3 linked regions of the Stegostoma tigrinum genome follow. The protein of the gene in region 2 binds, or shares a complex with, the protein of the main gene of each other region. Links are inferred from orthologs where the notes say so. Each region holds a gene or a part of one and is shown on either strand. Other genes may lie near its edges. The genes, in order: eif3d, eif3i and eukaryotic translation initiation factor 3 subunit E.

Region 1 (3,745 bases), on a different chromosome or scaffold from region 2:
GAACCTAGTTTCGGATTACCCTCCATTCGGGGGCGAAAAGGTCTGTTATTCACCTTACCAAGCCCCTCATTACTTTAATAAACCTCTGAGCTCACTCGTCTCCCTGTTTCTATCCTTGTCCTCTCTGGCAGTGGTTCACATTCTCTCAGATAATGAAATGTGAGGCTGGATGAACACAGCAGGTCCAGCAGCAACTCAGGAGCACAAAAGCTGACGTTTCGGGCCTAGACCCTTCATCAGAGAGGGGGATGGGGAGAGGGAACTGGAATAAATAGGGAGAGAGGGGGAGGCGGACCGAAGATGGAGAGAAAAGAAGATAGGTGGAGAGGAGAGTATAGGTGGGGAGGTAGAGAGTGGATAGGTCAGTCCAGGGAAGACGGACAGGTCAAGGAGGTGGGATGAGGTTAGTAGGTAGATGGAGGTGCGGCTTGGGGTGGGAGGAAGGGATGGGTGAGAGGAAGAACCGGTTAGGGAGGCAGAGACAGGTTGGACTGGTTTTGGGATGCAGTGGGTGGGGGGGAAGCGCTGGGCTGGTTGTGTGGTGCAGTGGGGGGAGGGGATGAACTGGGCTGGTTTAGGGATGCAGTAGGGGAAGGGGAGATTTTGAAACTGGTGAAGTCCACATTGATACCATTGGGCTGCAGGGTTCCCAGGCGGAATATGAGTTGCTGTTCCTGCAACCTTCGGGTGGCATCATTGTGGCACTGCAGGAGGCCCATGATGGACATGTCATCAAGAGAATGGGAGGGGGAGTGGAAATGGTTTGCGACTGGGAGGTGCAGTAGTTTGTTGCGAACTGAGCGGAGGTGTTCTGCAAAGCGGTCCCCACACACGCTCACATTCTCTCCACTGGTTCTAGTACTGTCCCTGGGGCAGTGGCTGTGCCGCCATTCCTCTCCCGCCCACCTGGGTGGCGCTGTGTGGGGTGGGTGGGGGGAGCGGCGTTCAGTCACGGTGCGGACCATCTTGGCGCCGCTCGCCAGCTCCGTGTGGAAGCGGCCCGCGGAACACTGCCGTAAAGCGGATTTCAACCCGCGGCGCCCAATTCCCGATTTCCATCAAAGCTGGTGCCCGTTGGGATTTATCTAAACCAAAGCGCCGAGAGAAACACGGCTCCGGCCTTGGGGCCGTCTTCAGGTCTGCTATTTAAAACGATTTAATCCGACAGCACATTCACGACATTGTCGTGGTGTGGACCCGAACCTCCTTTACGGTGGTGTGGCAGAAAGTCGCCGCCTCTTTTAAACGAATCATCGCCCCCCAGGATCCGCTGGAGAATGTTCCCCGAGTCTGAGCGGAAAACGTGACAGTTACGGGGCACTGTCTTGCGACCGACTTTACGGCAGCGCTGTCGCACCCATCTGCCGCAACGTGGCGGCTCCGTTTTACGGCACCTTACGACCTCCTTCCCGTGCCGGACTACGGCAGTTTGTAGACACTGAGGAAGGGCCGCCGGACCCGAAAACGTTTTAACTCGGGTTTTTCTTTCCCTTCACAGACGCTGCTGAGCTTTTCCAGCAAATTCCGTTGCTGTGTTCCTGCTTTACGGCAGTTTGCGGCCGTGTGGCGCCCCCGCGGGTTTGGACGTTTTACGGCGTTTCGCTGCCGGGTAACGGCCCCGGTTTACGGCGCTTTACGACAGCGCGGCGGCCGGTTGTTGGTGTCTGTGAAGCTTCGCGGATCCGGCGGCGGCGGCGGGAACCAGGTAAGAGGCGGCGGCTCGGGCCCGCGGGGGGCGCCGGGGGGGGGATTGTCCGCGGGCGTCGGGCCCCGAACCAATACCGGGGATCGGGCCTGAGGCCTCGGGCCTGGCCCTCGCCCTGCGTTTGTCTAGCGCCTGAGGCGGGCATTGAGTTGTCGTTCCGCCGGGCACTGGCCAGTTGCATTGATGTAGCCGCCTGAGCGGTGTCGGCGCAGGTTGGTGCCCGGAGAGGGACAGGAGCACAGGATCCGGGCACAGCCCCCCCCCCCCCCCGGGGATCCGGGCACAGCCCCCCCCCCCCCGGGGATCCGGGCACAGCCCCCCCCCCCGGGGATCCGGGCACAGCCCCCCCCCCGGGGATCCGGGCACAGCCCCCCCCCCCGGGGATCCGGGCACAGCCCCCCCCCCCGGGGATCCGGGCACAGCCCCCCCCCCCGGGGATCCGGGCACAGCCCCCCCCCCCGGGGATCCGGGCATAGCCCCCCCCCCCCGGGGATCCGGGCACAGCCCCCCCCCCCCCGGGGATCCGGGCACAGCCCCCCCCCCCCCCCGGGGATCCGGGCACAGCCCCCCCCCCCCCCCCCGGGGATCCGGGCACAGCCCCCCCCCCCCGGGGATCCGGGCACAGCCCCCCCCCCCCCCCCCCGGGGATCCGGGCACAGCCCCCCCCCCCCCCCCCGGGGATCCGGGCACAGCCCCCCCCCCCCCCCCCCCGGGGATCCGGGCACAGCCCCCCCCCCCCCCCCCGGGGATCCGGGCACAGCCCCCCCCCCCGGGGATCCGGGCACAGCCCCCCCCCCCCGGGGATCCGGGCACAGCCCCCCCCCCCGGGGATCCGGGCACAGGCCCCCCCCCACCCCCGTTATTCAAGAAAGGTGGTCTGGGTAAATTGGACATCAATAGGCCACCTTGACTCTGACACAAGTGGTAGGGAAACTCTTGAAAAGAAATTCTGAGGGACATAATTAATCTCTACTTGGAGAGTCAAAGATTAATGAAACATGACATTATTTAGGGGGAGATCATGCCTGATAGATTTGATTCAGTGATTTGTGGAGGTGACTGGATGTGTGTATGAGGGTTGTGCAGTGGATGTAGTCTGCATAGATTTTGGTAATGGTTTTGCCAGGGCTTCACATGGTAGACTGGTCAATAAAGCAAGAGCCCATGGGATCCAGGGCAGTTTGACAATTTGGATCCAGAATTGACTTAGCAGCAGCAGAAGGCGGGGTATAATAGTTGACGAGTTATTTTTGTGACTAGGAGCTTGTATCCAGTGGTGAATGCAAGGCTTGGTGCTGGATCCTTTACTGTTTTTACAGCGTATTAATGATCTAGACGTGAATGTAGGAGGTTTAATTGGTAGGTTTGCAAATGACACAAAAATTGGTGGCATAGTAAATAGCGAAGAGGTAAACATTACAGTACAGAATTGTATTGACAGGCTGGTCATATGGGCTGAATTATGGGCGAGTGGAATTTAATCCTGAAAAGTGTGAGGTGATACCTTTTGGGAAGACTAACAAGGCCAGGGATGATACAAAAAATGGTGAGACCCTAGCAGGTGCAGAGGGTCAGAAGTGCCCTGGTGTGTGTGTCCACAGAACCTTGAAGGCAACACGTGTTTGAGGTGGTTAAATATTGGGATTTTTGCTTTTGTTAGTCAAGACATTGGTAGTTATGATGGAGCTGTGTAAGATATGAGTTAGGCCGCAGCTGGAGGACTGCGTGCAATTATGATCACCAGTGTAGAGGAAGGATACGATTGTGTGAGAGAGCTGTGTAAGATATGAGTTAGGCCGCAGCTGGAGCACTGTGTGTCGGTCTGGTCCCCATATAGCTGGAAGGATGTGATTGCCCTGGATGGGGTGCAGAGGAGATTCACCAGGATGTTGCCTGGGCTGGAGGGATTCAGTGAAGCAGAGAAACTGGATAGGTTTGGGCTGTTTTCGTGAGAGCACAGAAGGCTGAGGGAGTGGGGAGTGAAATCTGACAGATATACAAGATTATAAAGGGCGTTGATAGCGTGAGTAATCAAAATGT
Region 2 (3,745 bases):
CTTCACACTGGTAGAAAATGACGCTATTTTTATTTTTCAACAGCATCCCACCAAGACACACCCCACCATATCCCTGTAACCTTGCATTTCCCATGGCTAACCCACCAAGCCTGCACATCCCTGGGCACTAAGGACAATTTAGCATGGCTAATCCACCTAACCTGCACATCTTTGGACTGTGGGATGAAACCGGAGCACCCGGAGGAAACCCACGCAGACACGAGGAGAATGTGCAAACTCCACACAGACAGTCGCCCGAGGGTGGAACTGAACCCAGATGCCTGGCCCTGTGAGGTATCAGTGTTAATTGCTGAGCCAACACGCTCTCAGAAGTTAGCAAATTTGTGAAATTCTTTACTGTAGGGGCCATCAAGGCTGGGATAAACAGATTTTAGTCAGCAAGGGAATCAAAGATTGTGGAGGCAAAAGGCAGAAAAGTGGAGTTGAGAATGATCACATCAGCCAGAAAAGGCAGAGGAGACTTCACAGACCGAGTGACCTACTTCTGCTCCCAAGTCTTTCTGTTGTAATTACACACATGCACAATGTGAATATTGCAGCCAAGATAGCAAACTAATGGAATAAGTTATCACAACATTCCATCATTTGTAAGTTATACTTACAGTATCTTTTGCACAAGAGAACAGCAAATCACCTTCTCTATTGTACTTAATTTGGGTGATTGATCTTTCATGACCTTGTAACAGGATGGGCTTCTGCAAAAAAAAATTAAAACATGATGTATTACAGCAATGAAACAAGCTCCATTAATTCCAGTTCTGAGCAACGGTCACCGGACCTGAAACGTTAACTCTCCACAGATACTGCCAGACCTGTTGAGCTTTTCCAGCAACTTTGTTTTTGTTCCTGATTTACAGCAACTGCAGCAGCTCTTTTGGTTTTTATTAAGCTCCATTAATTACTCAATTTCAACATATTGATAAAATACTAAAAGTCTGTAAATCTCAAGGTTTAAGGGCCACAACTCAGTTTTGTACCATAGAAATATATTTCTCTTGCTCCCTGCAACAGTCATCCTGATCTAAATAGTATTAGCATTCTTACTTTTCAATACATACAATTACCTCTCTATATTATGTCCATCATTACTCTTTAATAAGCAATGCAATAACCAACAAGCTGTCCTGGTCTTCCCACACAGTTGCGACAGTCAAGAAAGCAAAACAATGCCTCGAGTTCTTCACGAGACTTAGGAAATTTGGCATGTCAATAAGGACCCTCACCAACTTTTGCAGATGCACATTAAAAAGGAATTCCATCTGGGTGCATCATGGCTTGGTACAGCAACTGCTCTGCCCAGGACCATAAGAAACGACAGAAAGTTGTGTGCACAGTCCAGACCATTACACAGGCCAACCTCCCATCCATGGACTCCATCTACGCATGCTGGAGAAAGGCAGCCAACATCAAAGATCCCGATCCTCCACCCACCCTTGCAATTCTCTTTTCCAAACTCGTCTGTGTCAGGCAGAAAATACAGAAGCTTGTAAACAAGCCCCAACAGGTTCTAGAACAGTTTCTTCCCCTCTGTTATCAGGCTACTGAATGGTCCTCTCTAACTTCAAACCTTATGTTAATGTTGCTTTTATGCACCTTCTCTGCAGCCATAACCTTGTATGTCTCGCTCAAACTCAACACCTTATGATCTGTGTGTTTGCTATGATCTGCCTGTATTGCTTAAAGAAAACTTCTCACTGTACATAGGTACGGGACTACAACAAATCAAATTAACGATACTCACTGTAACCTCTAAATCTCCAGAGTACCACACTACTACTCTCCAACACTCGCCGTGCCCCCTCAGTCCCTCTAATACCCACACTACTACTCTCCAACACTCGCCGTGCCCCCTCAGTCCCTCTAATGCCCGCATTATTACTCTCCAACACTCGCCGTGCCCCCTCAGTCCCTCTAATACCCACACTACTACTCTCCAACACTCGCCGTGCCCCCTCAGTCCCTCTAATGCCCGCATTATTACTCTCCAACACTCGCCGTGCCCCCTCAGTCCCTCTAATACCCACACTACTACTCTCCAACACTCGCCGTGCCCCCTCAGTCCCTCTAATGCCCGCATTATTACTCTCTAACACTCGCCGTGCCCCCTCAGTCCCTCTATTACCCCCCACTATTGCTCTCTAACACTCGCCGTGCCCCCTCAGTCCCTCTATTACCCCCCACTATTGCTCTCTAACACTCACCGTGCCCCCTCAGTCCCTCTATTACCCCCCACTATTGCTCTTTAACACTCGCCGTGCCCCCTCAGTCCCTCTAATACCCACATTATTACTCTCCAACACTCACCGTGCTCCCTCAGTCCCTCTATTACCCCCCGCTATTGCTCTCTAACACTCGCCGTGCCCCCTCAGTCCCTCTATTACCCCCCATTATTACTCTTTAACACTCGCCGTGCCCCCTCAGTCCCTCTATTGCTCTCTAACACTCGCCGTGCCCCCTCAGTCCCTCTATTACCCCCCCATTATTACTCTTTAACACTCGCCGTGCCCCCTCAGTCCCTCTAATACCCACATTATTACTCTCCAACACTCACCATGCTGACAGCGGAGCCTGTAGAGAACCCGGAAATGATGTGTCTGGCGCCGCCGGAAATGACCCTGGGCGGGGTCAGGGATCAAGTAACCCGCTGCTATGGCGACCGTCGGTGAGTGATCTTCAAAACACCCGCCTCCCGCCAGACCCCGGGACACGCCTCCCCTCCCCCGCGGTCACTCTCTCCCCCCCCCCCCCCTCCTCCCCCGCGGTCACTCTCTCCCCCCCCCCCCCCCTCCTTCCCCGCGGTCACTCTCTCTCTCTCCCCCCCCCCTCCCCCGCGGTCACTCTCTCTCTCTCTCTCTCCCCCCCCCTCCCCCGCGGTCACTCTCTCCCTCCCCCGCGGTCACTCTCTCTCTCCGCCCCTCCCCCGCGGTCACTCACTCTCTCCCCCCCTCCCCCGCGGTCACTCTCTCTCCCCCCCTCCCCCGCGGTCACTCTCTCTCCCCCCTCCTCCCCCGCGGTCACTCTCTCCCTCCCCTCCTCCCCCGCGGTCACTCTCTCTCTCCCCTCCTTCCCCGCGGTCACTCTCTCTCTCCCCTCCTTCCCCGCGGTCACTCTCTCCCTCCCCTCCTTCCCCGCGGTCACTCTCTTCCCCCCCCTCCTCCCCAGCGGTCACTCTCTCCCTCCCCTCCTTCCCCGCGGTCACTCTCTCTCCCCCCTCCTTCCCCGCGGTCACTCTCTCTCCCCCCTCCTTCCCCGCGGTCACTCTCTCTCTCCCCCCTCCTTCCCCGCGGTCACTCTCTCCCCCCCCTCCTTCCCCGCGGTCACTCTCTCCCCCCCCCTCCTTCCCCGCGGTCACTCTCTTCCCCCCCTCCTTCCCCGCGGTCACTCTCTCTCTCTCTCCCCTCCTTCCCCGCGGTCACTCTCTCTCCCCCCCCCCTCCTTCCCCGCGGTCACTCTCTCTCCCCCCTCCTTCCCCGCGGTCACTCTCTCTCCCCCCTCCTTCCCCGCGGTCACTCTCTCTCTCCCCTCCTCCCCCGCGGTCACTCTCTCTCTCTCCCCTCCTTCCCCGTGGTCACTCTCTCTCTCCCCTCCTTCCCCGCGGTCACTCTCTCTCCCCCCCCCTCCCTCCCCGAGGTCACTCGCTCCCCCGCCTCCTTCCCCGCAGTCACTCTCTCTCCCCCCTCCTTCCCTGCGGTCACCCATACTCACTCCCTCCCTCTGGTCAGTT
Region 3 (3,745 bases), on a different chromosome or scaffold from region 2:
GATGGGGGCGAGGGGGAAAGTGTAGGTGCAGGTGTAGCACTTCCTGCAGTTGCAGGGAAAAGTACCAGGTGTGGTGGGGTTGGAGGAGAGTTTGGAGCAGACAAGGGAGTCACAGAGAGAGTGGTCCCTCCGGAAAGCAGATAAGGGTGGGGAGGAAAAAATGTCTTTGGTGATGGGGTCGGATTGCAGATGGCAGAAGTGTTGGAGGATGGTGTGTTCGATTCAGAGGTTGATGGGGTGGTATGTCAGGAGGAGGGGGATCTGGTTTTGTTGTTATTGCGGTGAGGTCGTGTGAGGGATGAGTTGTGGGAAACGCGGGAGACAGGGTTGAGGGCGTTTTCATCCACTGAGGGGGGGATGTTGCGGTCCTTGTAGAACGAGGACATTTGGGATGTACGGGAGTGGAATGCCTCATCCTGGGAGCAGGTGCGGCGGAGGCGAAGGAATTAGGAATGGGGATGGCATTTTTGCAGGAAGGTGGGTGGGAGGAGGTGTATTCTAGGTAGCTGTGGGAGTTGGTGGGCTTGAATTGGATATTGCTTTCCAGGTGGTTGCCAGAGATGGAAACAGAGAGGTCCAGGAAGGAGAGAGAGGTATCAGAGATTGTCCAGGTGAACTTAAGGTTGGTGTGGAAGGTGTTGGTGAAGTGGATGAACTGTTCGAGCTCCTCATGGGAACACGAGGTGGCGCTGATACAGTCATTGATGTAACGGAGGAAGAGGTGGGGTTTAGGGCCAGCAAAGCGATGGAAGAGGGATTCTTCAACTTTTTCTTGTGGATGGTTTGGGAGATGATGGTTTGGTGCTCGGGGGTGGGGTCATGATCGAGGGGACAGTAGGAGGTTGCGTCAGAGAGTTGGCATCTGGCTTCAGCAATGTAGAGGTCCGTGCGCCACACGACAACTGCAGCTCCTTTGTCCGCGGGTTTTATGGTTGGGTTGGGGTTGGAGCAGAGGACTGCCCATTCTGCGGGGCAGCGGTTGGAGTGGGTGAGAGGTTGAGGCGGTTGATGTCTCGACGGCAGTTAGAGATGAAGAGGTCGAGGGAGGTTAGGAGGCCTGGGGGTAGTGTCCTGGAAGAGCGGGGTAAAAGTTTTTCCTCTCGAGCAGTATTAGATTGACAGGGGAAGGGCGGGGTTTTACTAATGGGCGGGGCCTGGCGCTCGATGGGCGGGGCCGTGCCTGGCACAAGTCGCTGTCAATAAAGTTGCTTCCGTTTGAATTTTCCTTTTGCCAAAATGGCGGATTACGATCTAACGATGCGAATCGCTAATTTCCTGGACCGGCACCTGGTCTTCCCGCTGCTTGAGTTCCTGTCAGTTAAAGAGGTAAAGTCTCCGATCACCTCCCCCCGCGAGTCCGGTAACGGTACCAGAGCGGAGCTCGAGGCTTCTCAGGACCCTGCACGTGAAACAGGCCCAGGGCCAGGCCTAGCCCTGAGTGAGGAGCCCGCCCCCGGCACTACGCTATGTTGAGGGTGCGGAGTCCTGATGCCCACACCGGAGATAACAAAGTGTGGAGCTGGATGAACACAGCAGGCCAAGCAGCATCTCAGGAGCACAAAAGCTGACGTTTCGGGCCTAGACCCTTCAGAAGGGGTCAGCTTTTGTGCTCCTGAGATGCTGCTTGGCCTGCTGTGTTCATCCAGCTTCACACTTTGTTGTCCCGGATTCTCCAGTATCTGCAGTTCCCAGTATCTCTCTCCCACACCGGAGCATCTGGCTTTACCGATCGCCTTTCGCGCTTTTCTGCGTTCCCTCGTCACGAGATGCCCGTGGTCAGATGACCAAAAATTTGTTCAAGTGAATGCAGTAATGCATGCGAATAAGTTATAGGCGGGAGAGGGAATTTCTGACCTTAGCTGAAGGTCTAACCATCGCTTGGCTTTCGCAGTTTCCCAAGATCAGCAAGCGACTTGCTTCCGTTCCAGTTTGATGTGTTCTGACATGGCTGATAAACGCAATGCACGACCTGCCGGGACAATGCCACACGCTGAGCAGGTCAAGTTTCGAGATTTCTGTGCATCTACTCTGATGCCTCAACTTTGCTTCTCCAAGTTTTCGACGATATCTTTTGAGTGAAACTTCTTTTTTTGATTCATCACAAGCTGGGCACTCCCTTGACTTAGTGGGGATTTTTGGTTTTTTTTCAAGGATGCTCTGAGGATATCTTTAAAACATTTCCCTGTCCTCCTTGGAGTGTTGTAAGACTGTGTTTTTGAGTGAAATGGCTTTGTGAGTCTGGTGAGTGATATGACCTGCCCAGCAGAGAGCTGGCTTTTGACTGATTCGTGCCTTGATGCTGGATCAGGAATGAATCCTGCTGTTGGGCCAGTTTTCTTACTACTGGCTTTGTAGGGTTTTGCAAAGGCGTCACAGATGGATAGTATGTCTCCTGTACTTTGAGGTGCCTGCTTTATTTTGTCCTATCTCTGATATAAGTCAGAGTGTGGAGGTCATCACCCAGGAAATCACCAAGGTTTCGCCATCAATGGTGGAATAATGATGATTGGGGATATCAGAGGCCCAAATTAGAGAAGAGAAGAGATCTTGGACGGTCGTGGAGTTGAAGACAATTATAGCGATAAGGAGAGTAAGATCCTGTGGAGACATCCTATAAACAAGGATAAAAATTTTAACGTTGAGTTGTTGCTTGATTAGGAAGCAGAAGGTGAGCAAGTACTGGAATGATAGACCAAATTCAGATTAGACCATGGGCATCAGAGTTTTGGATGACTTTAAATTATATTGATGTTGGAAAGTGGAGAGTGACTGGGAGTGTTTTGGAGTAGTCAAGTCTGGATGAAAAGAAGACATGGATGAAGCTTGAGCATGATTTAGCAGCATGTGAGCTGAGGGAGTTATGTTACAGAAGTAGAAATAGGAGGTTTGTAGTGATGGTTTAAACATGAGGCTGGAAACTTGAATGCAGGTCAAAAATTGCAAGCAGACTGGTCTAATTTCAGATTTTTGACAAGAAGAGTGACTGTAGACTGAAAATTGGCTTCACTTTGTCTGGTATATAATTATGTATTGTGAGACATTTAACGCAGTTTTGAATGTATGCTGGGATCCTTGGTTGTAGTATTTTCAATATTTATTTTTTTTATTTTCAATATTTATTTTTAATTTCAAACAGTAGCCTCTGTCCTAACTGATTGAAGAGTCAACAAGGCACTGCCAGTTTTAGGGTTGTACTTCTCTGCTTACAAATTCTGCGCCTCATACATTCTCTCTCACCCTACGCCTGGAGGAGGAACTGAGCTCCGAAAGTTACATTTTCAAATAAACCTGTTCAACAATAACCTGGTGTCGTGTGATTTTTGACATTATTTTTAATTTGAAAAGTATCCCCAAAAGTCTTTGGATGTTGTGGATTGGTTGACATTTTTATGATGGCAAATCATAGAGTTGTGTAAGTACTACCAGCAAAAGCACATGGAGTAAATGTGGCTATATGAGTTTGAGTTCCACATCAGAGACAGGTAACAAAATGTTGGAGGTGGGGTTGAGGAATAGAAGGATCTAATCCTGTTCTCAAAGTTCCATAGCAGTAACTATAAAATAGGTCACAGCTACAGGAAAAAAAATCATAAATCCTCAAAAGTGATGGGGCAAATTGATGAGGTATAAGAATACCTTAAGTGGTTTATTTGGCTTTTAAAATAGGAACAGTGAATGCAAAACTAAAGAAAAAAGCAATAACAACAAAAACACTTAAAGCACTGGTTCGACCTTGGTCAAGTTA

Evidence for each region.
Region 1: eif3i (region 2) and eif3d share a complex: the UniProt entries of both Homo sapiens proteins name them as parts of the eukaryotic translation initiation factor 3 (eIF-3) complex. The link is inferred for Stegostoma tigrinum from reciprocal best matches to the Homo sapiens genes EIF3I and EIF3D.
Region 3: eif3i (region 2) and eukaryotic translation initiation factor 3 subunit E share a complex: the UniProt entries of both Homo sapiens proteins name them as parts of the eukaryotic translation initiation factor 3 (eIF-3) complex. The link is inferred for Stegostoma tigrinum from reciprocal best matches to the Homo sapiens genes EIF3I and EIF3E.

Annotation. Positions count from the first base shown.
Region 1 is NC_081391.1:24,613,358-24,617,102, reverse strand, and holds the start of eif3d (eukaryotic translation initiation factor 3 subunit D), read left to right. Parts: upstream 1-1,141; 5' UTR 1,142-1,705; intron 1,706-3,745. UniProt on the Homo sapiens protein: mRNA cap-binding component of the eukaryotic translation initiation factor 3 (eIF-3) complex, a complex required for several steps in the initiation of protein synthesis of a specialized repertoire of mRNAs.
Region 2 is NC_081377.1:45,627,052-45,630,796, reverse strand, and holds the start of eif3i (eukaryotic translation initiation factor 3 subunit I), read right to left. Parts: upstream 2,694-3,745; 5' UTR 2,684-2,693; coding exon of another isoform or gene 2,671-2,683; 5' UTR 2,576-2,670; coding exon 2,573-2,575; intron 717-2,572; coding exon 624-716; intron 1-623. Other genes in the region: tmem234 (transmembrane protein 234), read left to right, coding at 2,671-2,683. UniProt on the Homo sapiens protein: Component of the eukaryotic translation initiation factor 3 (eIF-3) complex, which is required for several steps in the initiation of protein synthesis.
Region 3 is NC_081358.1:265,855-269,599, forward strand, and holds the start of eukaryotic translation initiation factor 3 subunit E, read left to right. Parts: upstream 1-1,193; 5' UTR 1,194-1,236; coding exon 1,237-1,326; intron 1,327-3,745. UniProt on the Homo sapiens protein: Component of the eukaryotic translation initiation factor 3 (eIF-3) complex, which is required for several steps in the initiation of protein synthesis.